Ovis aries: one gene and its partners. The protein of the gene in region 4 purifies or fractionates together with the protein of the main gene of each other region. This does not show direct contact. Links are inferred from orthologs where the notes say so. Each region holds a gene or a part of one and is shown on either strand. Other genes may lie near its edges. The genes, in order: DNM1L, RBM42, LARP7, SERBP1, PRMT1 and TSR1.

Evidence for each region.
Region 1: the proteins of SERBP1 (region 4) and DNM1L purify together in Homo sapiens (affinity purification with mass spectrometry; 3 studies listed by BioGRID and IntAct, with this or other methods). This does not show direct contact. The link is inferred for Ovis aries from reciprocal best matches to the Homo sapiens genes SERBP1 and DNM1L.
Region 2: the proteins of SERBP1 (region 4) and RBM42 purify together in Homo sapiens (affinity purification with mass spectrometry; 3 studies listed by BioGRID and IntAct, with this or other methods). This does not show direct contact. The link is inferred for Ovis aries from reciprocal best matches to the Homo sapiens genes SERBP1 and RBM42.
Region 3: the proteins of SERBP1 (region 4) and LARP7 purify together in Homo sapiens (affinity purification with mass spectrometry; 3 studies listed by BioGRID). This does not show direct contact. The link is inferred for Ovis aries from reciprocal best matches to the Homo sapiens genes SERBP1 and LARP7.
Region 5: the proteins of SERBP1 (region 4) and PRMT1 purify together in Homo sapiens (affinity purification with mass spectrometry; 3 studies listed by BioGRID and IntAct, with this or other methods). This does not show direct contact. The link is inferred for Ovis aries from reciprocal best matches to the Homo sapiens genes SERBP1 and PRMT1.
Region 6: the proteins of SERBP1 (region 4) and TSR1 purify together in Homo sapiens (affinity purification with mass spectrometry; 3 studies listed by BioGRID and IntAct, with this or other methods). This does not show direct contact. The link is inferred for Ovis aries from reciprocal best matches to the Homo sapiens genes SERBP1 and TSR1.

Annotation. Positions count from the first base shown.
Region 1 is NC_056056.1:182,666,454-182,670,158, forward strand, and holds part of DNM1L (dynamin-1-like protein), read right to left. Parts: intron 3,605-3,705; exon of another isoform or gene 615-3,604; coding exon 494-614; exon of another isoform or gene 272-493; coding exon 116-271; exon of another isoform or gene 1-115. UniProt on the Homo sapiens protein: Functions in mitochondrial and peroxisomal division.
Region 2 is NC_056067.1:45,665,658-45,668,691, reverse strand, and holds the end of RBM42 (RNA-binding protein 42), read right to left. Parts: intron 1,154-3,034; coding exon 959-1,153; intron 880-958; coding exon 767-879; 3' UTR 636-766; downstream 1-635. UniProt on the Homo sapiens protein: Binds (via the RRM domain) to the 3'-untranslated region (UTR) of CDKN1A mRNA.
Region 3 is NC_056059.1:13,387,925-13,392,421, forward strand, and holds the start of LARP7 (la-related protein 7), read right to left. Parts: upstream 2,960-4,497; 5' UTR 2,804-2,959; intron 1-2,803. UniProt on the Homo sapiens protein: RNA-binding protein that specifically binds distinct small nuclear RNA (snRNAs) and regulates their processing and function.
Region 4 is NC_056054.1:43,070,225-43,074,605, forward strand, and holds the start of SERBP1 (SERPINE1 mRNA-binding protein 1), read right to left. Parts: upstream 2,865-4,381; 5' UTR 2,779-2,864; coding exon 2,466-2,778; intron 1-2,465. UniProt on the Homo sapiens protein: Ribosome-binding protein that promotes ribosome hibernation, a process during which ribosomes are stabilized in an inactive state and preserved from proteasomal degradation.
Region 5 is NC_056067.1:55,814,452-55,818,156, forward strand, and holds part of PRMT1 (protein arginine N-methyltransferase 1), read left to right. Parts: coding exon 1-5; intron 6-771; coding exon 772-927; intron 928-1,071; coding exon 1,072-1,135; intron 1,136-2,873; coding exon 2,874-3,016; intron 3,017-3,705. UniProt on the Homo sapiens protein: Arginine methyltransferase that methylates (mono and asymmetric dimethylation) the guanidino nitrogens of arginyl residues present in proteins such as ESR1, histone H2, H3 and H4, FMR1, ILF3, HNRNPA1, HNRNPD, NFATC2IP, SUPT5H, TAF15, EWS, HABP4, SERBP1, RBM15, FOXO1, CHTOP, MAP3K5/ASK1, MICU1 and NPRL2.
Region 6 is NC_056064.1:23,185,426-23,189,130, forward strand, and holds part of TSR1 (pre-rRNA-processing protein TSR1 homolog), read right to left. Parts: coding exon 3,650-3,705; exon of another isoform or gene 2,539-3,649; coding exon 2,422-2,538; exon of another isoform or gene 2,042-2,421; coding exon 1,901-2,041; exon of another isoform or gene 1,796-1,900; coding exon 1,721-1,795; exon of another isoform or gene 1,595-1,720; coding exon 1,416-1,594; 3' UTR 1,052-1,415; coding exon of another isoform or gene 851-1,051; 3' UTR 520-850; coding exon of another isoform or gene 310-519; 3' UTR 1-309. Other genes in the region: SRR (serine racemase), read left to right, coding at 310-519, 851-1,051. UniProt on the Homo sapiens protein: Required during maturation of the 40S ribosomal subunit in the nucleolus.

The DNA of each region.
Region 1 (3,705 bases), on a different chromosome or scaffold from region 4:
GTAAGGAACTAAAATTTTAACTTTTAGCCCATCTTCTATATTTCCTCCTACCCCTTGAAACCATCACCTCATGTCTTTTACTACCTAATCAGAAACCTGTTACATTTCTCAATACCTGTGTACTGTAATTGCTACAGTGCTGAATGATCCTTTGCATTTCTTCATGAACCAGTTCCACACAACGGAGGCTGGGCTCTTCCAGACGTTTGATTTGCCTTTTGACCAGTAACTCAAATGAAACTTCAGGCACAAATAAAGCAGGACGAGGACCCTAAAAAGAGAAAATTATGAGCTCTTATAGCTACATGTAATTTTGGTTCTTTCCTAAGGTTAAAATAAATCACATTTTTGGGTATTTTTTCATGAAAAGTACTTCCTAATTTCAAGAATAAGAGCAAAATAACAAACTGTACCATTCGTTAAAAAATATATATGGATTAAAAAATAATCTTTAACCTCATTTCAAAAAATTCTAAAAGTTAAGCATACTCACAGTTGCATTTCTAATGGCAGTCAAAATGTCAATAGTGTTAAGGCCACCGAGAGGGTCAACAGATTCTAAGGTTCGCCCAAAAGTCTCATGGAAAATATAACATATTCGAGCACCACCACATCTGAAAGGCAATGAAATATATGATTTCTAGTATTACTAAAAGGGAAAGACACTACAAACTAGAAGTCTTTCTGTAAGCAGTAAGATTATGGAAAATTACATTTAGACCATTTCCATGTATTCTCAACTGTATTATGAACCAATTACTCTAATCTTTTTAATGGGGAAAGGAGTCATTTCACAAACGGCATTCATATATGCATGTGCACGTGCACACACAGAGTAAACTGTACTGTCAGAAAACATCAGTTAACTAAGAACGACTAAACGTTTTTCTCTGCTCTAGTTCTCAACTAAACCATGCACTCCTTAAGGATATTTTCCAGTGGTCATGTATGGATGTGAGAGTTGGACTATAAGGAAAGCTGAGCGCAGAATTGATGCTTTTGAACTGTGGTGCTGCAGAAGACTCTTGAGAGTCCCTTGGACTGCAAGGAGATCCAACCACTCCATCCTAAAGGAGATCAGTCCTGGGTGTTCATTGGAAGGACTGATGTTGAAGCTGAAACTCCAATACTTTGGCCACCTCATGCGAAGAGCTGACTCATTTGAAAAGACCCTGATGCTGAAAAAGATTGAGGGCAGGAGGAGAAGGGGACAACAGAGGATGAGATGGTTGGATGGCATCACCAACACAATGGACATGGGCTTGGGTGAACTTTGGGAACTGGTGATGGACAGGGATGCCTGGCATGCTGCGGTTCATGGGGTCGCAAAGAGTTGGACATGACTGAGCAACTGAACTAACTAATTTCTATTTATTCACAATCTAGAGTAGAGATCAGCGATCTTTTTCTATGAAAGGCCAGTTAAATACTTTTAGACTTTTCAGGCCTTTGTCACAACTCGCCAATTCTGCCATTGAGCACAAAAGCAACCACAGACTGTACGTAAACAAATAAGCATAGCTATGTTCCCGTAAACTTACACACACTAAAATTTGAATTTTACATATACACTACATTAAAAATTCTTTGAATTTTTTTTCAACCATTTAAAAAATGTAAAAATGATTCTTAGTCAATGGGCTTATCCTTGCTTTAAACAAATTAAATCTCTAGGCCTACATACTGGATACCTTGCATTTCCTGTCTTAATGATTAGAAATCCTGGTATTATCTTTTATTTTTTTCATTCAAGTCCAGTTGAAACTTTACAGATATGGTATATCCCCCCAAATCATTCATTCTTCTCTATTTTTACCATCACTTTTCACTTCTTTCTTACAGTAGTCTAGGCAGAAGGTACCAGCCTAACATTATACTAAGTGAAATAACCCAGACAGAAAAGGACAAATATTGTATGATTCTCCTTATATGAAATATCTAGAATAGGGAAATTCACATCAACAGAAACTAAGTCAGAGGTTACCATGGGCTAGGAGAAGAGAGGAAGACAGGTATCACTGTTTATATGATACAGAGTTTCTGTTGGGATGATGAAAAATCTTGGAAATAGATACTATTTGATGGCTGTACAATATTGTGAATATACCTAGTAGTATGTATTATACTTTAAAATAGTTAAAATTACCAGTAACTAGTCTCTCTGCCTCCAACCTTTACCTTCTCCAAATAGTTTCCATAATGACCAGAATTACCCTTCTAAAGTGGGGAACTCCTGTGACCAAAAATGTTATCATTTTTTTATAGTAGGAAGCTCTTCAAACTCTGACATATTACACTTTCCACAGTCTTGTTCTTATTAGACACCTTTCCCGCCTTACTTCCTGTTACAACCCATCACTGTACCTGCCATTCTCCAAATTCACCCTGAACTATTCTTTGCTATTCCAAAGCCTAAAATACCCTTCTACTTACTGCTTACGGCCTTCGCCATATTCTATTCACAGCCCAACCCAAATGCATTCCTAACTATGGAGCTCTCCCAATCTGGAGCTCTCCCAATCCTTGAAAGAGATATAAATGGTCTCTCTTCAATGTTCTAATGAGGCTTGATTAGATAATTACAAAGATATAAATATTCTATGGAGTTAACTCACACAGAAGGCTACCAGGGTCACATGAAAGTACACAGAACTGTACACCCACACACACACATGAAGTGTAACTGGTGAAATCTGAATAAACTTTGTGGATTGTACCAGTGTCCATTTTCTTGCTTTGTTATTGTACTACAGATATGCAGGATGTCAGTGCTGGGAGGTGAAGGGTGAATGGACCTCTCTGTACATTTATCTGCAACTTGCTAGAAATCTATAGTTATTTTTCAAAATTAAAAGGCTTTTTAAAGGTGAGAGTTCAGAGAAATATATTCTTATATATTGCTACTAGTAAAACAATACAATTTACTACTAACATCCCAGGTGGCACTAGTGGTCAAGAACCTGCCTGCCAATGCAGGAGGATGTTAGAGACCTCCGAACATGTTGGAAGACGTTAGAGATCTAGGTTTGATCCCTTGGTCAGGACGATCTCCTAGAGGTAGGCATGGCAACCCACTCCAGCATCGTCGCCTGGAGAATCCCCTGGACAGAGGAGCCTGGAGGACTACAGTCCATAGATTTGCAAAAGCAAGACACGACTGAAGCAACTTAGCACTCACTACTAATATAGCAATGATAAAAGATGTTGAGAATATAATATACCTTTTGATCTAGTAATTCTACTTCTAGAAATTTACCCTAAGAATTTACTTGAATACATGCTCCAAAGATAGTCCATCACAACACTGTATATATTTGTGTATAACTGAAAGCAAACTATCAAGAGTAGGGGACTCACTGAACGAATCTAAAAAGTAAAATACTATGTAAATCTTAAGGCTGAAAATACAAATATGCAATTTCTACTAGCTGTTTGTGACAAGTTGATTTAAAGAAATGATTCTGTAGCATCTGATTTTTAAAGATGTGTATTATAGGCATTTTTTATGTTTTATAAATACATAGAAAAATGTCTAGATTAATGCCAAATAATAGGGATTATTTCTGGATGATGGAAATAAAAGGAATTTTATCCTTATACTTTACTCTTTTTACTTATCTGTACTTTTTTATTTTTTCATGAACAATGTTGTTGTCCATATTAAAGAAACAAACTTTTTAAAATTAGAAAATGTTATACTTAGCA
Region 2 (3,034 bases), on a different chromosome or scaffold from region 4:
AGAGAGACAGCAGAGGTCGACTAGGTTTTGGCAGAGTGAAGAAACTGAAAAGTCTGAGAGACCTAAAGGGTGAGAACGGCAGAGATAAGGAGAGAGAATGATATTAACAGGAAGAGAATGAAAGAGTTTCAGAAATGGCCAGTGCCTTCAGGAAGCCGCCTTGGACTCCTCGGGATGGTTCCCCATCCCAACCCTGCTAACTCTCATTGTCTGGCAATGGCTCTCTGCCACTGAACCATTAGCTAGGAACACTGTTACCACGGTATCCACACACTGTCCAGGTCCTTGATGAAAATGGATGAATGAATGAAAGCCTGGAAAGCTCTGAGCTCCAGAAGGGCAGGGCCCAGAGGACCCACTACCTTGGTGCTGAGAACACAGGGTGGAATCAGAAGACCACTGGGGTGAGCCTCCACTTGGCTTTGACCTTGCGCTAAGACTCTACTTCCTCCTCTGAGGAATGGGCTGCACTCAGTATACACTTAAAGAGGTTTCAAGAAGATCTAACGGGCAGGTAGCAGCGTTGAAAACACCCATCTGCATGTTTATGTAAACTTTCAAGGCTCCCCACTGTCTCCAGAGTGGGGGATGCTAAGCCCGGCTCTCCAAAGAGTGCTTCCAAGCCTAGCCAAGGATGGAAATGAACGTAAATTTATTGAAACTGGTGTTGGGGAGGATGGCTGGGTAGACAGTTGAGGGTTTTCCAAAGAACTGTGGGGAGGAACCAGCGCCCGGCCGGATGGGAGCGGGTGCCTGGCCACAGACCCTATCTCAGGCCCAATTTCTTCTTCTCCTTCTGCTTCTTGCGCACCACGTCCAGGTTCCGGTCCTTCCACATGCTCTTGCGCAGCTTGATGGGGCGTGAGCCCACATACTTCCCTGTGGGAAGAGAGGGTTCAAGGTCAGGCTCAGACCAGATGTCTGCCATGCCCAATGACCCTAGGGAGACCGCACTCACCATTCATCTCACGCATGGCACGCACATAGTCACTGGGGTCCTTAAAGCTGACGAAGCCATAACCCTTGGTCTTGCCTGTGCGCTTGTCACGGATCACCTTAGCCTTAAGGAAGGATGGGAAGCGGCTGAAGGCTCGGGCCAAGATGTCATCATTCACTTCGTTGCCCAGGTCCCCACAGAAGATCCGGAAGTCATCTGGGGTTGGGAGAGGGAAGATCAGAGGATACACATGTGTGGCCCAGGGTCTGTCTTACTGAAATGATCCCACCTTCTCTGGGAGCATCCCCCAAGCCCTCTTCCCTCTGTATCCCAGCAGTCTCGACCTGAGGTCCTCTTAGTTATAACAGCCAACACCTGGATAGTATATACCCTGTGCTAGACTCTCTGAAATAGCACCCCACTCCAGTACTCTTGCCTGGAAAATCCCATGGGTGGAGGAGCCTGGTAGGCTGCAGACCCTGGGGTCGCTGAGCGATTTCACTTTCACTTTTCACTTTCATGCACTGGAGAAGGAAATGGTAACCCACTCCAGTGTTCTTGCCTGGAGAATCCCAGGGACGGGGGAGCCTGGTGGGCTGCCGTCTATGGGGTCGCACAGAGTTGGACACGACTGAAGTGACTTAGCAGCAGACTCTCTGCAAAGCATCCATAAAGTTTTCACATACCTGGCATTCCCAACAGCCCTATACGCCAAGGCACAGAGAGGTCAAGTCACCTGCCCAAAGTTAATCAGCAAGCAGCAGAGCTAGGACAAGAACTCAGGCATCTATCTGGCTCGAGAGCCTTCACTTTCAACTAACGGCACTGCCCTGCCCCACCCCAGGGCCACCTCACCCACTCCGGTGATGAAGCCCCTACCTTTGTCATCACAGCCCTGGCCTGTCCTCTGAGCCCCCAGCATCCTTTGGCCTCCTGAACACCTCTCCATGGACACTCCCTGGGCCCCTGACACCCACTGGTTCCCATAATGGCACCCCAGGACCGCAGACTTCATCCTCAGCTCTGCCTCCTCTGCAAAGCCCACTCTGATCCCGTTTGAGTCCCTGAAACCTGAACACACTGCCTCATTCTTCTCCAAGGTCAACTTCAGCTGCCATTTTTGGATAAACCTCCTGGGCTGAGCCTGGTCTTGACCAAATGTGCTCAAGCTCAAAGAATCCCTTCCCCCACGAGTATATACTATTACTATCTCCTTGCTGGAAAACAAGGCGTGAAAGGCGGAGTGACGTGTCCAAGGTCACAGAATTAGGGTCTACCGCCTAGCCACCTCTGGGCCAGTGCTGTAAAGGAGTGGGGTGGGACTTAGGCTCCTTTCCTTAGCTACCACTGTGGTTGCCTCATAGCTTTGGTGGTGACTGAGGGCACTCTTGAACAAGTTAGGTCACCCCAGGCAGAAGTAATCTGACAAACTTAAGAGGGTAGGACCGTCCATAAACCAACTGATCTGAACATTTCAAAAGACTATTATAAGTGAGACAAAGCAGCGAGAGGGAGACAATTCTCTTTAAAAGATAATCTAGTGGCACAAAACTGCATGCCTCCTGGTTTAGGGGAAAAACAGCTAAAAGGAAACAGTTTGGAGACAACTGGGAAAATCACAATATAAACAGAATATGAGATAACACAGTTACTGTTAATTGTCTTAGATGTGTTAACCATGTAATGATATGAAAGAAAATATTACTTTTCTTAGGAGATGAATACTAAGGTATTTAGGAGTGAAGTGATAACCTCATTTATAATTTACTTCACATGATTGAGCAAAAACCAAAAAATGATAAACATGGAGGGTTACAGTGAAGATACCAAAATGTTAATTGCTGAATCTAGGTGGTTGATATATAGTTAACTGTGCAAAATTTAAAATTTTGTGAGAAATTTTGATTATATTTGATTATATTCTTTGCAGCCAAAGATGAAGAAGCTCTATACAGTCAACAAAAACAAGACCAGGAGCTGACTGTGGCTCAGATCATGAACTCCTTATTACCAAATTCAGACTTAAACTGAAGAAAGTAGGGAAAACTGTTAGACCATTCAGGTATGACCTAAATCAAACCCCTTAAGATTATACAG
Region 3 (4,497 bases), on a different chromosome or scaffold from region 4:
TTGCCCCATGTGAATAACACTCTGCAACTTTCAATCTTAAAAATCTGTGGAGAATCAAATATACCTTCATTTTCGAGTACAGATATGGATTAGATTAAACAGGAATTAAGCTATGGTACAAGTTCTCTTTGCTACACATTGGTTGCAGAAGATCAGGAAGTTACATGATAGTCATAGTTTACTTTTTCAATGTCCTATGATAACAAATAGGTATACTGTCATTCCATACATTCCAAATCAAAGTTCTTATCTTTCTTAGCAATGTCTGTTCTGCTGTTCTCACCACCCTCATTTTCTTTAAGGATGACATATTCTACTTAGTTAACCAGTCGAGCTATTTACTAGCTGTATGGATTTGGGGCAAGTTAACTCAACTTTCTACGATCTACAAAGTGGAATAAAATTTATACTGACATACTAGGGTTGTTTTAAAAATTAACCAAAATGGATAAAGCACTTTCCATTGCTGCTATACAGCACACAGTCAACAATATCTAACTGTTATTTATTATCATTTTATCATTTACCAATCTGTCATTAATCCCTATCAATGTAACCTTTGGAATGGCTCTTATCTTCATCCAGTGTTTTCCACAACTACTGTTATAATAATACGGAAATTGTTTATAAATTGTTTGAGAAGTCCTCCATCCTTCACAGAAGCTGTGTAACTTGTCTAAACACAGGTCTAATTTTGTGACTCTAATGCTAAAACTTTCAACAATAATAATTCTTTAGCATCTTTTGGTAACACAGCATATATTTTTAAAAAATTGTTAAATGAATCAACTAGTTTCATAGGGTTTAAACAAAGAATAAAAGTTACTGTGTAACACCAGTTACTTTACACACCTTGTTTTAAATCCTCATAATCCCTCTAGGTTATTTCTCTTAACTTTTTACAAAGGCTCAAAGGTTAAGTGACCTGGCTAAAGCTAGCTAGGTAAGTAAGCTCAGGTATGTTTAACTTTCACACTGCCTAAGTTTTAGTAGAACCTCTTGCAACCTCTTACCATGTAGTCTACGTTTTGACTCAGAAATCCTTTTTTTAAATTGTTAAATTTTTTTTTTTTTTACAATGTTGTGTTGGTTTCTGCTGTACAACAACGCGAATCAGCCATCTGTGTGTTCGTGCTAAGTCGCTTCAGCAGTGTCTGAGTCTTTGTGATCCCATGGACTGCAGCCATCCAGGCTCCTCTCTGTCCAAGGAATTCTCCAGGCAAGAATACTGGAGTGGGTTGCCATGCCCTCCTCCAGGGGATCTTCCTGACTCAGGGATCTAACATTGCATCTTACATCGCCTGCAATGGGAGGCAAGATTTTTTTAACAGTAGCGCCACCATCAGTCATAAATATACATATATACCCTCACTCTTGAGCCTCCCTCCCCTTTCTCCATCCCACTCCTCTAGGTCATCACAGAGCACCAGACTGGGCTCCCTGTGTCATACAGCAACTTCTCACCAGCTATCCATTTTACACACGGTAGTGTGTATCTGTTGATGCTACCTTCTCCATTCATTCACTCTCTCCCTCCCCACCCCGGCTGTGTCCACAAGTCCATCTCTCCTGGCTCAGAAATTCTTAACCTGAAATCCATGGAATTTGGGATGGATTTCAAAAATTATTGTAAATCCCACGAAATTTTCAAAGGTAAATTTTAAAGGTGAAACCATGACTTTTCTACGTTTATAAAATGAACTCGTCAATCATTTTATTTAAGTAATTAACCAGGGAACTAGTTAAGTGCTAAAAACCAGTTCAAAGGTGAACTCAAAAACTAGACAAGCGCAAATACAAGCAAGCAAAAATATTGAAATGAACTTGTTAACAGATGTAACACTAATCAGGGCAATAACTCTTAAGACTTATTTCAATTATAACTTACATAATTGTAACATAGCTCAATGACAATGAAAAGCAGAGGTAAGCTGGAAAAGTAAGCTAGACACCTCTTTTTTTTTGGCTATTTCAACGTCTTTCACAATTTTTCTTTAAAAGGTTATAGAAAATATTTAGAGATGTATATGTATTTTCCTGGGAGGCTCATCCATATCTTTTAAATCACGTTTTAAAAGGAAATGGTGTGTCAAAAAGGTTAAGAGAACTATAGTTCTAGTCACATCTGACTATCCAGCGTTGCCTACTTTCTTGTCTCTGTGCCTCTGCTTTAAAAGCTTCTTGTCTTCCTTGTCTTATCAAGTCCTATTCAATTTTCAAGGCCCAGGTTAAACGGCATCTTACTCTTTCTAGCTTTCTGCTAGCACATTTCCCCTAAACAACCGCCTCATCTGTTTCCCTTTTAAGTATGTCTATTAACGCACTCAATAATACACTGTATTTTTTCTTCCTTCCATAACTGGATGTTCAGCTCTCTGAATGACAGAGACAAAAGTTCTGAAAAAGGAAATGACTTAATTTAAAAATACAAGTCCACATTCGCTATCGTTTGGCCACCAAAACTCGAATCTGCGAAGAAAAGCAATTCCCCTTTTGACTACTGCCCCTTTAGGTACCCGTCCTTCCTCAAGGAAGCCGTCAGACGCGGGACTACCCCAAACCTCCCAAAACCGGGCGGCAAGCGCCCCCAATCACTAGAAAACTGGAACTGCAAGGGCTGCCGGAGGACTCTTGCGCGTGCGCACAGAGAACCAGGACACTAGGGCAATCTAACTGATGGGTTGGTGGGAGGGGGCGGGATGAGAAGGACCAGAGATGACAGAAAGGACCGGCATAGAAAAAGACTGAGAGTAATTTAGATCTCACCCAACCTGGGCTTCCCTAGAGTCCACTTAGAACTTACTCTGTCCAATTCCCAAAATACAGCGCCAGAGACTGCGTTCTTCAGTCCTTCGCGTCCCCCGAACCTTATAGTCGTGGTTATTTTAGCGTCACATGAGCGACAATTCTTCCGAACGCCTTGGAAAAGATGGGCCCAGAGGTTGTGCGACCGACATTTACGTCACTGGCGTAGGCCCGCTCAGCGTGGGGGCGGGACATCGGAGAACGCAGTCGCCACAGAGGCTAGCAGCCAAAGAGGAACTTGATTGGCAGTTTGAAAACGGCCATTCAGGTCCGGAGCCGTGGTGGGCGGGCTAAATAGTGGGGTTGGATCTGGTGCGGTCGCGAGTTGATGATGTCACGGCTTTTCGCGGGAGAAGTTCGAAAGTGGGTTTTGTGCAATGAGCAAGTTAAAAGAGCTGTTTCCACTCGGGAGTTTCTGGGGATTGAGGGTAGATAGGCTGGAGTTTTGAGCTCGAGGTGCTGTCACTGATTTTGATGCGACGGGCGAAGGAGTTTGCTCCGCCAGACGGGGTTCGGTAACGAAACTGTGTGGAGATAAGGTTGGTTCACGGCTTGGCGCAGCAACCTGTAAATAATTAGTGCTTCGTCTTTACCACCTTCCCCCAACTCCTGCTGGGCAGTTCCGGTATCCGTGTGAGAACCCGGGATGGTTTTGCTGTTTATTTTTAGGACTGACAAAGGGTCCCTTCTTCATTGTCATCTGGTTACACAAGCTAGTGATAATTAGAACGTTGGCAAATGAAATGTGAGCATCTTTTGGTTGTCTGGACTGGACCGTTTCTTAAAAGGCTATTGGGCTCGTGATTCTTAAATTTTTAAATCTGTGAACCACTTAGGGATTCGAAAGATCCTGCTTGTTCCAAAAGAAAAGGACCAAAAACATCTCATCGTACTTAGCAAGAACAGGTCATATTTTAGTGATAACACCGAATTTTATACATAAATCTAAAAAACAGCACAATAATGTGTGTGAAGATATGTATGTATTTCTGTACTAAATTATCGCAAAACATTTAATCTCTCCCTTTTTTTTGAAGTGTAATTCTTTAATCTACCACTTAACAAGAGTTAGGACCGTCTCAATACCTTTTACATCGCAAATCCCTCAAGTAATATTTCTAATTTAGGAAAACAATGGGGGAATTTATTTTGCAGTTGGTAAACAGCATATAAGTAATCCTAAAGAAGTAAATACTGGATTTCTAACCTGTAAATTGTGATGGTAATAACAACTTTTAGGACTATGAGACTGATAAATATTATATGTAAAGAATCCAGTCCCATTCTTGCCTGTTACAGTAGGTTTTCCATAGTCACATAATGTAGTTTTTGTGAATGGGAACACCAGAATTTAGACTACTTAGTTTTAAATTCTGAATCTGCCATTTATTTACTTCATGAGCTTAGGCAAATTACATACTGATGTACCTCACTTCCTGTTTTTGTAAAATGAATATAAAAAGTAGTATCTGTACTATAAGGTGTAAAATTTAAAGCATTTTAACAGTGTTCTAGCATATAATTTACACTGAATAAATAATAACTGTTATTAAAGGGATCTAATGTTAACTGCTACATGCCAAGCATTGTGTTGACACTATGTAGTCTTATCTACATATATTTGATGTCTAACCCATTCAGTGGCTAGAAGCAAGTTGCTGTTCAACCAGCAGTCAACTATGTGTTTCTTTG
Region 4 (4,381 bases):
TGTACCGCCACCAAGATGCACCCAACTGTTCAGTTGCTTGCAGTCAAATGGTAAACGTCAAACTCTGAAATTTTAAGGTCCGTTCCACATAAACTCTCAGGACAGGACACAAACATTAGACCTTACACCGAGGCATTTAAAAAAATTTCTTCAGAGGTAGTGAGTGTATGGGGTGGAGCTACAGAACCAGTTCTTATAATATCCAAGCCTCACACACCCAGATGAACAATGGCTTGCTTCCACACTCCAATATTCAGTTATCAGGCTTACAGAATCTAAAACACAAATAAATCCACGCAGCAACTGACATTTAAAAATGTGTCTCTAGATTTTTCACTATATTCCAGGCTTTCAACATTGAAAAAACAAACAAGAATAGACCTTAGCGATGTTCAGTGGTGTCCATTCTCAAATTCCTCAAGTGGGCAAAAGATAAACTACAAAATTCATAGAATATAAACAGTAAATACCTACCTAAAGCATATCTGATTGTGCCAGGACCCCTATTCAAAGGCACAGAACACATGATCAGGTTAACAATCCCTCCTACTACAAGAGTCCAGGACTTTTGTTTACAGGTCTATACTTCCCCAATGCCCAGAAATGATTGCTACATAGTAGGCTCTCAAAATGAACTTTTTTCATTCAACATTTTTATAACCTGTGTTTTATGCAATTTAAGCCTAAGTGTCCTCTGAAATGCTGACCTAAGGAAAATGTTGATAGCTAATAATGGAAATTATTGAATTTGACTACTGAATGGTAAACGTAATCCTGCTCATAAATTTATGAAATAACTTTATAATTTAAAATACTAGGTTCCAGGTAAAAGTTTATTTCATAAACGGACTTTATGATCAAACTGAGGGGTTTAAAGCACACCTCATGTTTTGAACATTCAAAACGAGTGAACACATTTCAGATTCCATTTTTTCATGTACCTTCTTTGAATTAGCGATACAGGAGGTAAACTTGAGCACAGTTTAAATGACTACACAAGTCAGTGTTCCTTAACATAGAAATTAAACGATTTATTACATTGTGCTACAGCCTATAGAGCCTGCTATAAAGATTAGCCGAGTATTTAGCCTCAAAGATGCATGCTAATACTCCAACGTGTGCTTCCCTCTCCAACCTGTAATTTTAATATAATTGTTTTATTTACCACCTAGGTTCTTCATCCCAAGCCTCAAAACGTTCTATTTCTTAAAAATTCTAAACCAAAACCTAACACAATTGTTTTCATTTTCAAATTAGCTGAACGCTAGCTATCAAATTCAACTAAAGCTCAGAACTCCTTTCTGAAGCACGTGGCAAAATTTCAACTTTCAACACACAGAGGTAATCTCTACGATTCAGAACTTAGGTCCTACACCTACTTACTTCGGATCTGTAAGATTTTTCCTTACTCCTCACTGCTATGCTTTTTCACCCACCACCAAAGAGAAACCAGCAATGAGGGAGAGTGCAAACACCAAGTTCAAGGCAATCCCGCGAAGTTTACAATGACCTGGAAGCAGCTACTACCCGCCAATGAAATCCCGACCACGCTTCACGCACATGGGGAGAAAAAGCCATAGACTCAAAAGGACTCAGCGGTGGCTACCGCTGTGACAGCCACGAGGCTCGCGCCAGGGGCACACCACACGAAACACTGCGTGCAGTGGGGAGGTGGGTCCGCGGGGGTTCGACGGGGTAGATAAAAAGATCTTGACTCGAGAACGAGTTTCAGGATTTCCTGCCAACACGTTTTCATTCAGAATTCCCGCTTCTGGTCAATCCCGAGGGGCTAAATTCCTCTCCCAACAGCTTGAGTCACTCCAGCAAGTTATTAAGTTTGTAATAGTTGAGGGGGCGAGGGGTGGACAATAAAGCACGTGTGCACCTAAAAGGGCAGCTTTTCCCACAATATCCGAGCGGTTCGAACATGCCTGCGGAGAGGTGTGCGCGCGGGCAGAAAACTCGACCCTCTTTTTCGGGCGTACCCCGCGCCATCCTGGGACAAGATGGCAAGAGAGTAGCCTGAAGGAGACAACCTCACCTCAGAGCAGCAGACTGAGGGGGCAGCTCTGAGCAGGAAGAAGCCGCGGAGCCCCCGCTGTCCGCTTCACTACAAGTGCTCCGAGGAGTGGCTCCCTTCACCGAGCCTCGGTCCATGCGCTCGCCCGCCAAGGAATCCGGCGGGAAGGCAGCAGCCTCCCAGGATCCCGACCACGCTTCTCGGCTCAGACCTGAGGCGGGAAGGGGTGGTTCCAGTATCCTTGCAGGTGGCGGTTTGAACTTGGGCTTAACACGCTCCCAACACCTTCGCAGGACCTGGCTTTTGTCGCGTTGAGGGAAACGCCGGGATATCAGTGGCCAAGTCTCCCGCGAACCCTCGGAGCCCCAGAAGCGAGTGTTAGCCGCAAGTCTCCTCGCTCCTTCCCTCCATCCCGGGTGTCTCCCACCTTCTACCACTGCTTTACCTTCTTTCTTAAGCGCCACAGGCGGCTGCGTCTCCTCCTTCTTGTCAACCACGCCGACGCTGGGGGGCAGCGGGTTCTTGCGGTCTTTCTGGGACTCTTTACGCAGCTGTTTGCCCGCCGCATTGGAGTTGGTCTGAGCTGCGGCCTGAGCTGCGCTCTTGGCCCCAGGGCCCCCAACGCCGCCCCCGCCGGCTTCTTTTTTCTTGTTCTCTGCTGCCTTCAACACCTCGAAGGGATCCGATTCGTCGTCAAATAACTGGTCGAATCGGTTGGTGACCACGCAGCCGAAGCCTTCCTGTAAGTGCCCAGGCATGATGGTGGCTCGGCGGCGCGTTCCTCCACGGATTGCAGCGGGCCGCGCCGAGCCAAGAGCGCCTGCTTCAGCTCTTCCCACAAGATGGCCGGGCCGAGAGAGGGGGGCTGTCTTCTCTTCCGGCGCTAGGCACACATCCGGGAGCGGCCAGCGCCGCACGGTACCACGGGGTCTGTAGGCCAGAGTCGCTTTTCCTGAGGCGGCTCCCGGCACCAGGACTACAACTCCCAGAATACACGGCTGAACAACTCTTCGCGCGCGCCTCAGAGGCGAGTCCTCACTGAGGGAGAGGGGTGTGCAAGCTGAGGGAGAAGCGCGGTGGTAGGCGGAGTCCTGCCACCTGCTATCGCCGCCCTTAAACTCTCGGCGTCTCCTGCTGCGCTGAAAACAGGAAAACGTGACGGCGTGTTTTGCTCGCGAAAGTTCTCAGTCTTCGGTTTTACTCCCCGTCTCCGGCCCAGGACTAACTTTCCCCACCTCTCCGGGAGGGTCAAGGTGACTATCAGTCTTACAAGTGGAGACTCACAAACTTCCAGGGCTGGCAGATTGCACTGGCCTCGCGGAAGTGGAACCCGCTCTCTTCCAAATCCCTAGTTGCCCAGTTGCTGCAGTTGCCCTCCTGCAGCCCTAATAATGAATCGAAGCGTCTCTGTTTAATGTGAGGCGGAATACGCTTCTTCTCGCGGCCACTTGAACTCTAGCAGCAGAATTAATCCAAAAGACAAGTTGAACTAGCAAAGTGAGTGTTGCGCGCTTTTCTTGGATGAGAAGTGCCGTCTTGCGACCGGTGCTTTAATTGTTAACTCCTGGCGGTGTAGCACTAGCCAGACACTGGGAAAGCCTCCAAAAGGCATTGTTTGTAGAAACACTTTATGGAGCCTAGGCTGACATTAGTGCCAGGCAAGTCAAGGATTGGGTGTTAGTAAAAGGTACTCAAGAAATAACATTAAAATGTTATCTGAAGAGCATCTGAATGTGTGATGTGCTAAGAGGTGCAGTGAGGGGAGAGAAATATGTCAGAGAATTGTCTTTAATTCTCATTGGTATTAGCTGAGAATATTAAAGTCCATTAAAAGGGTGTCATGCATATTCAAGCATATTTGGTAACACGGTGAGGGTGAATGTATTATAATTTTTAAACCTTTTCCTATTAACCAGAATATAGAAAATGCATCTCCATGTTCCAGGTACTATGAATAACCTTAATGACGACAACAACTTATTAGGTAAATAATTTTCCCTTTTCACAGGTGAAACCATTTCCTATTTGAAATAACTTAATCAAGTTCACGTCTGTAACAGTTTAAGTGCCAGGAGTTAACTCCAGTCTTCTAACTCCACTGTGAGACACCTGACATCAATTTTTTAATCCAGACTCTGCCTTCTGATAGAAATGAATCAATATAAATTAATTTCCAGTATTTAATAAGATTTAAATGTTGTTGAAGAGAAGTGAAAAGCAAAGGACAAAAGGAAAGATATAAGCATCTGAATGCAGAGTTCCAAAGAATAGCAAGAAGAGATAAGAAAGCCTTCTTCAGCGATCAATGCAAAGAAATAGAGGAAAACAACAGAATGGGAAAGACTAGAGATCTCTTCAAGA
Region 5 (3,705 bases), on a different chromosome or scaffold from region 4:
ACGAGGTGAGTATGGACAGACAGCTCCTGAGGGTGCCGAATCTTCCAGGGGGTCATGTTGGGGAGAGCTGGAGATTCATCTCTGACGCATGCGCACTGCCTTCCCTGGCAGCGGGCCACCCCCTCTGCGCAGGCAGAGCTCACACTCCGGGTCGCCTCGCGCAGCCGTTGCCTGGGAGACGGGGTTAGCCTGGCGCTCTACCAGTCCTCTCCTGGGAGGCCGCGGTGGGAGCGCGCATGTGCATCGCATGTGCATCTGAGACGCATGTGCATCTGAGACGTCAGCCCGAGGTCAGGGCCTACCGGTCTTTGCCGCCCTCTAGTGACCGGCAGCGGCTCGAAAGTCTTCTCCACCCCTTTTGCGTGTGGTGGAGGCTGAGGTCCCAGAAAGCAGCAGGGATGGGGTGGGAAGATTTTTCTCTTTCCTTTTTTAAAATATTGTTATAAAATATGCATAACAAAATTTACCATTTTCACGTGGGCGGTTTAATGGCTTTGGCTTACTGAGGACTTTTTAAAGGCAAGGCTTTACAGGGGGTTAGTCGGCAAGGGTAGAAAATGCCTAAGATGGGATTTTGGTCCATCCAGTCCAATTTCACGTAGGGAAACTGAGGCGTGTGGAAGGGAAATAACTTGTCCTAAGGGGACTAAAGCAGGTTTGAGGACTGAGTGCCAGTCTTCAAGTTGATCAGTGTGTTGGAGGCCAGGACACCCTGGTTTTCAGCAGGGGACGCCAGTCCCCTCATGATCTCTTTGTTCCCACCCCTGCCAGGAAATGCTGAAAGATGAGGTCCGCACCCTCACATACCGCAACTCCATGTTTCACAACCGGCACCTTTTCAAAGACAAGGTGGTGCTGGACGTGGGCTCGGGCACAGGGATCCTCTGCATGTTTGCCGCCAAGGCTGGGGCCCGCAAGGTCATCGGGGTGAGTGTCCTCGGCGGCCGGCCAGGCCTGGGCCTAGGGACGGAAAGGGGGCCCCTTGGGGCTCAGGGATTGGGTGGAGGGGAGTGGGGGTGGAGGGTGGCATTTGGGGGGGGGTCTCACCCTCCCTTCTTCCTGGGCCCCCAGATCGAGTGTTCCAGTATCTCTGATTATGCGGTGAAGATCGTCAAAGCCAACAAGTTAGACCATGGTGAGCCCAGGAAGAGAACGGGGTCTTTGGGGAGGGAGCGGGGGATCCCAGCTTCCCCGGGGCCCCTGGCAAGGGAATGGAGGCCATAGAAGTCAAATTCAGGCGTTCCTCCCCCGGTGGGCTCTGGGCTGCGGACAGCCCAAAAATCCAGCCTTCTCAGAACCTACCTCCTGACAAGCCGTCTTAGAATCTGCATGTCGAAGTCACAAGCTTAGTGCTTCAGTCTTTTATTTAAAAAAACAAAAATTTCAAGAAGCAATCTTGAGTTTTTTCAGTGAGTGATAGAGTCACGTGGTTGGCACATGAGGCCCATAGTAAGAAGTCTGCCACCCGCCTCTCAGCCACTCTTCTCTAAGTGCAGACAGCTCTCTCTCCCAGAGAGGTTCATACCGATGAACAAACGTGTGTGTATGTTTCTGCATTCACATGCTGGTTTTTGACACAGATAATGTTTCATACATGCCCTTTGTGATTTTCACCTGTGTATTATGTAGTTTAACACCTGATAGGATGTTGAGAGGATCTTGCTTTTTGATGACTGCCATCCTCTATTTTCACATACACCAGGTCTGTTAACCAAGTTCCTGGTCATGGGCATTTGAGCTTCCAAGACTTTCATCCCCCACCTGTAATGTCATCATCAATCATATATGAACTAATGTTATCTGTGAGGTCAGTTTGTAAAAGTAGGGTTGCATGGATCAAAAGTGGAAGAAAGTTGGGCAGAAGGTGCCACATTGCCCTTCCCACCTGCAAGGTTTGAGGGGCAGAGGACATGGGAACATGTGGGTTTTTTGATATGAGGGCCCTTGGCATTCTAGAAGCTGAAGGGGTTTTTTTTGAAAAAGAAATTAGTGTAATGAATTCCTAAGTTCCCATCACTGAGCTTTAAATACCTCCTTTTGAAGCAAATTCCGACTATAAATCCTGCCATGTGTGTATCTAATAGATTTTAAAAAATATTTAAAAAAGCATGACCACGGGAATTTCCCGGCAGCCCAGTGGTTAGGACTGCTTTCACTGCTAGGGCCCCACTTCGATCCCCCGTCAGGGAACTAAGATCCCACAAGCTACACAGTGCAGACAGAAAAACAAAACGTGACCGTGGCTGTTAGTGGCAAAATCTCTCTCATTTTTAAAAAAAATTTTACTTTGCTGCGTCAGGTCTTAGTTGCAGCGTGCGGGATCTAGTTCCCTGATGAGGGGTTGAACCCCAGTCCCCTGTCCTGGGAGCATGGACTCTTAGCCACTGGACCACCAGGGAATCCCAAGGCTGACTTCCAGTAGATTTTAGGAAGGGAGCTGCTCTGCCCCGTACAAAACCCTGACCCAGAAGCAGGTCATCTGCAAATGGTTTGGCACCAGGTTCCCCATGAGTGTGCGAGGCGTGACGGGTAAGGGGGTGGCTGCCTTTCCCATTCTGTGTCCTAGAGTGAGGGGCTGTCTGCACCGGGCCCTGGTCCTGCCTGCTAATGGCAAAATCTCAATGTCACCTCATACCTGATTCATGTCAAGTTCTGTTCCTGCCTCAGAAATACCCCTTGATGAATGAATTTTAAAAACTTAAGTTGACAGGGTGTGACTTCAGCTCACAGAGTTCTTTAAAGATGCCCCAACACAGCCCCCAGCCCTTCCTTGAGAAGACAAGGCTGTCCCGGTGGGGTCCCCAGGCCCCCAGGGGAGGCAGGCAGACGGCTGTCCTCAGGGCTGGTGGCATGTGCCCTTGTCTGCCCCGCAGTGGTGACCATCATCAAGGGGAAGGTGGAGGAGGTGGAGCTCCCGGTGGAGAAGGTAGACATCATTATCAGTGAGTGGATGGGCTACTGCCTCTTCTACGAGTCGATGCTCAACACCGTGCTCTACGCCCGGGACAAGTGGCTGGTGAGGCCCCAGCGGGGCGGGAGCGGCTCGTGCAGGCCGGTGTGGGGGTCCAGGCAGAAAAGGGAAGCTGTGCTCCGTACTTCCCACCACGGGGACTGAGTACAGGGCTTGGAAGACATCTACATGGATGTTAGGAGGCCCACGGGCAAGATGGAGGGGGCCCAGTACCGGAAGCTAGACAGGGACAGGGAGATGGTGCTGGAAAAGAACCACAGCAGGCCAGAGGGATTAGGAGGGACTGTGGACCCAGGTGCTGTCAGAGCAGGCCTCCCAGGGAGCTGACCGAGACCTGAACCCCGGACGGGGAGGAGCCACATGGGATCTGAGGGGCAAGGCACACTTAACAGAGGATTTCGGCCAGTGCAAAGGTCCTGGGGCAGCAGCGAGTTCGCTGTGTAGGGAACTTGTAGGGAACCTGCAGCAGAACACGGATCGGGAAGGAAGTTGGAGGTGAGGGGCGGGGGTGGGCCTGTGCAGGTCTCATGGGACCTCGTGGATGTGTAAGACTTTGCCTTACTCCTCAGAGGGGCGAGGTTAGGACGAGATCTGACTTAGATGCTCCTCAGAGCCATCAGGCAGCTATCTGGGGAGTAGACTGAGGCTGGGCACCAGTGAGGAGGCCGAGACAGGAGCCCACCTGGGAAGTGCTGAGCTCAGACCAGGGTGGTGTCAGGGGTGGATAAATAAAC
Region 6 (3,705 bases), on a different chromosome or scaffold from region 4:
AAACTTTACAGCACAAAAGCCATTTCAATGAGTGGCACCCTCACAGTCCTTTGAATTCCATCTCACCAACTTACTATCCAGGTCAGGAGCTACTCCTTTCCCAAGTCACCAGCAGAACCAGCTGTGATCTAGGCAACTGAAGGCCAGAGTAGAAAACAATTTAAAGTGCTTAAACGCCTTATTTCTATTACATAGATTAAAAGAAAGGCTCTTGGGCAGAAATGTGTTAACTGTACCATCTGTTTTACTGCAAGCATGCCGGCAAAATGCTGTGTCTAGTTGTAAGGTATCTAATACTCCTCTTCCTAGGCTCTGAGACCTAGTGTGAAGGTATATGCTGCTGAACCCTTGAATGCAGATGACTGCTACCAGTCCAAACTCAAAGGGGAACTGACCCCCAACCCCTATCCTCCGGAAACCATAGCAGATGGTATCAAATCCAGCATTGGCTTAAACACCTGGCCTATTATAAGAGACCTCGTGGATGATGTCTTCACTGTCACCGAGGATGAAATTAAGGTGAGGCTCCAAGAGGAAAGAAAACAACAAAAGAGCGGAGCAACTTATTAGGCAAAAACCTTCCTGTTGTAAATGGCAACTAACCCACAAGGGAACTTGACTAGGTGATTTCATAACATGTGAGAGGGTGCTCTAGACGAGTGTCAAGACAGTAAAGCAAGTCAGAATGAAAAAAGCCCTGCCCTTCACTGGCAAACACAAACGTATCACAAACAGGAATACTCAGACTGGGCATACACCCCCATTTGGCCTTTAAGCATAGAGGCCAACCAACTAGGCTCTTTACCCCTTTTCCTGTGTCACTAATTCTTACTCCCTTCTATACCGACAGTATGCAACCCAGCTGGTGTGGGAGAGGATGAAATTGCTTATTGAACCTACAGCTGGTGTTGGAGTGGCCGCTGTGCTGTCTCAGCATTTTCAAACAGTTCCCGCAGAAGTAAAGAACATCTGTATTGTGCTCAGTGGTGGAAATGTAGACTTAACCTCCCTAACTTGGGTGAAGAAGCAGGATGAAAAGGCAGCTCCTTAGCAATCTGTTTCTGTTTAATAGGTGCAAAAGGAAGAAAAGGGACTCAAGTGTCTAGACACTTGGAAATTTTGTCTCCTGGTCATTGTCAAGTTCCTATCTTCCCCTCTAAAACAGCCTTCAAAACCCTAATGGAGAATGTGTATTTCAGTAAGATTTAATGGTTTTTTTTGGACTAAGTTGAACTAGAAAAACATCCATACTTAACTGAGACACCTTCTCAGGGCCAAGAAAAGTCTTCTGCACAAAGGAGCAGGAGCCCTTAAGTAGGCTTAAGTAGAAAGCACAAACTGGGCAATCACAACCTATAGGCTCCCATCCCCAGAGTGCTCACTAGTAGCAGTGAGACAGAATCCCACTGAATCCGTTACTCCATGTCCACTTCAGGCACTGTTGAAGAAATCTCACTTTTCACCCAGGGGACTGGTTCTGGTACATATGGATCATAAGTCCACTTGGGGAAAACTCTCTTATAAAGATTCATCAGTACTGTGTCCTGAGATTTTAGCTTCCCATCAAAACTGCACTTCATGTGACCGTGAGTACCTAGAATGAAAACAGAATGAATTGGTCATATTAACAGAAGACTTTAAAGCAGTGGTCTCTTAACCCAGTGGCCGTTTAACAGCACTGGGGAAGTCTACACAAGCTCCCAATCGCGCATTCTCTTACCCAAAGGCTCCTTGATGTGGCCCCTGCGGCCCCACTTTGTTCTCAGTTCCACAGGTTTAAACCACAGTACATCCTCTTAGGTAAAGAAACACACAGAAGGCCAGGGTGAAACACCTATCCATAATGCATAAACCCAACCTTCATCCCACAAAGGAACTGGATCCCCTCTGTCACACCTACCTCTGTTGAAAAACATGTAACGCACCACTGCCGTCTTGGTAAAAATTTTGAAAGGATGACCACTCAGAACAACTCTCTTGATGACCATCCTGTCTGGATCCACTGACAAGAGATGGCCTGTGGCAATGAGGCTGTGCATTCCTGAGGGGCGAAGGCAGAGCAGCAGGAGGCTTTTGGTCAAAGCCGTCACTTATTGTCCAGTCTAGTTAAAGGCCTATGAGAGATCTTGGGAAACCCAGTGGGGATGTACTATGTGGCCCTCCTGAGTTCATGGCCGAGATCACTGATATTCCTGCTGAGCCTGTCCTCAGAACCCACCCTAAACAGAGCACCTTGAGCGACCTCCACAGATTAGCTAAGGTTTGCAAGCAAGATAAAACCCCATCTGTCATCCTGAAATTGGGATAATTTTAAAAAAATCATTACTTTTTCGTTACCATCTGACTCCCAAATTTAAATACAGAGAGCAGTTAATCTTATTAAGGACCTGCAGGCTATTCACCTCTGTGAACTCAACTTACCATTGCTGTTCTGTTTGAAAAGCAGCACAGATGCAGGAGGAAAAGTGATTGGGGCATATACTGTCACCACCAGGGCTGTGTCTGCAGTCAGGAACCTCTGAAATTTATGTTTATCCGCTGTCATTAAAAGAATAAAAACCAGAACATATTTTGAGAAACAATAGGTAATCCAGAGGCCTGTGAAAAAGCTGTATCACTGGACCTCTTAAACTAAGGCAACTAATGTTTCTTTATCCTATTAGTTCTCCAAACATTTTCTGGCCTCTGTACAACTGAAAAATACAACCTTATCCTAGCAGAGTGATTTTTCAAGTAGGAGGCACAGTTTTGGAGCTTGAACTGTATTTTGGGGTTTGTCAAAGTTCTCCAGGTGATCCCGATACATAGCACCCTACCTCATTTAAGAATCGGTGCTTTACAGAAAAACACTAATTCAACAGCTCTTAAGTCTTCAGCAAGGACTGGCAAACATTTTCTATAATCAGATTAAGTATTTTAGGCTTTGTGGCCATCAAGTATCTCTTCTAATTACTGAGTTCTCACTAAAGCACAAAAACAGCTATAGATAATACATTTTTTTAAATTAATACTGAAAGTTATAGGGAAATAAAAGGGCAGTATCAATCCCTCATTTAGACAGAATGGTTGGTGAGCAAAGAAATTATCCAGAGCATCCATTAATACTGCCTTTTCTCACCTTCCTCTGGCCACCGCTGGGGGCTGAGAGTGTGGGTAACGTTCAGAAGCCCTGACATACTGCAAATATCTTCCCACTCTAAAGACTGTAAGAGGACAATCACTTTTTGTCATAGGAGTATCCCTAGTCATCACTGTCCAAACTCTCATCTAATCTCAAGATCTCAGAAGCCATATACCTCTGCTTTATCTAACTGTGGGCCACCCCCTAGACTTCACCCACTGGGACATCAGATGCCAAGAGTTCCATGACACATCATTTCTTGAAAGCTGCCAACCCCTATTCAACACTAAGTCTGCAGCAAATACTCATGGCACAGGAGCCTCAGCACCACACAGTTTGCATCACAGGGATGCTTCAGACAGGTTCAGACATTTTGAATGGAAACATCACTGGCTCCTAAACCAAAGTCTGAAATGCTGTATCTGCACACCCCATCCCCGCCATCCCACACTCCCACCCCCTGCCGCAAAATCACAGTCCCCTAACAGACAGTAAGATGAACAAAAACCCAGAAACTGCCCTGCTTACCTGCAGTGTGCTGAGAGAATAAAGGTGAGGCTCGGAAGCGCCTGAATCCACAGTGG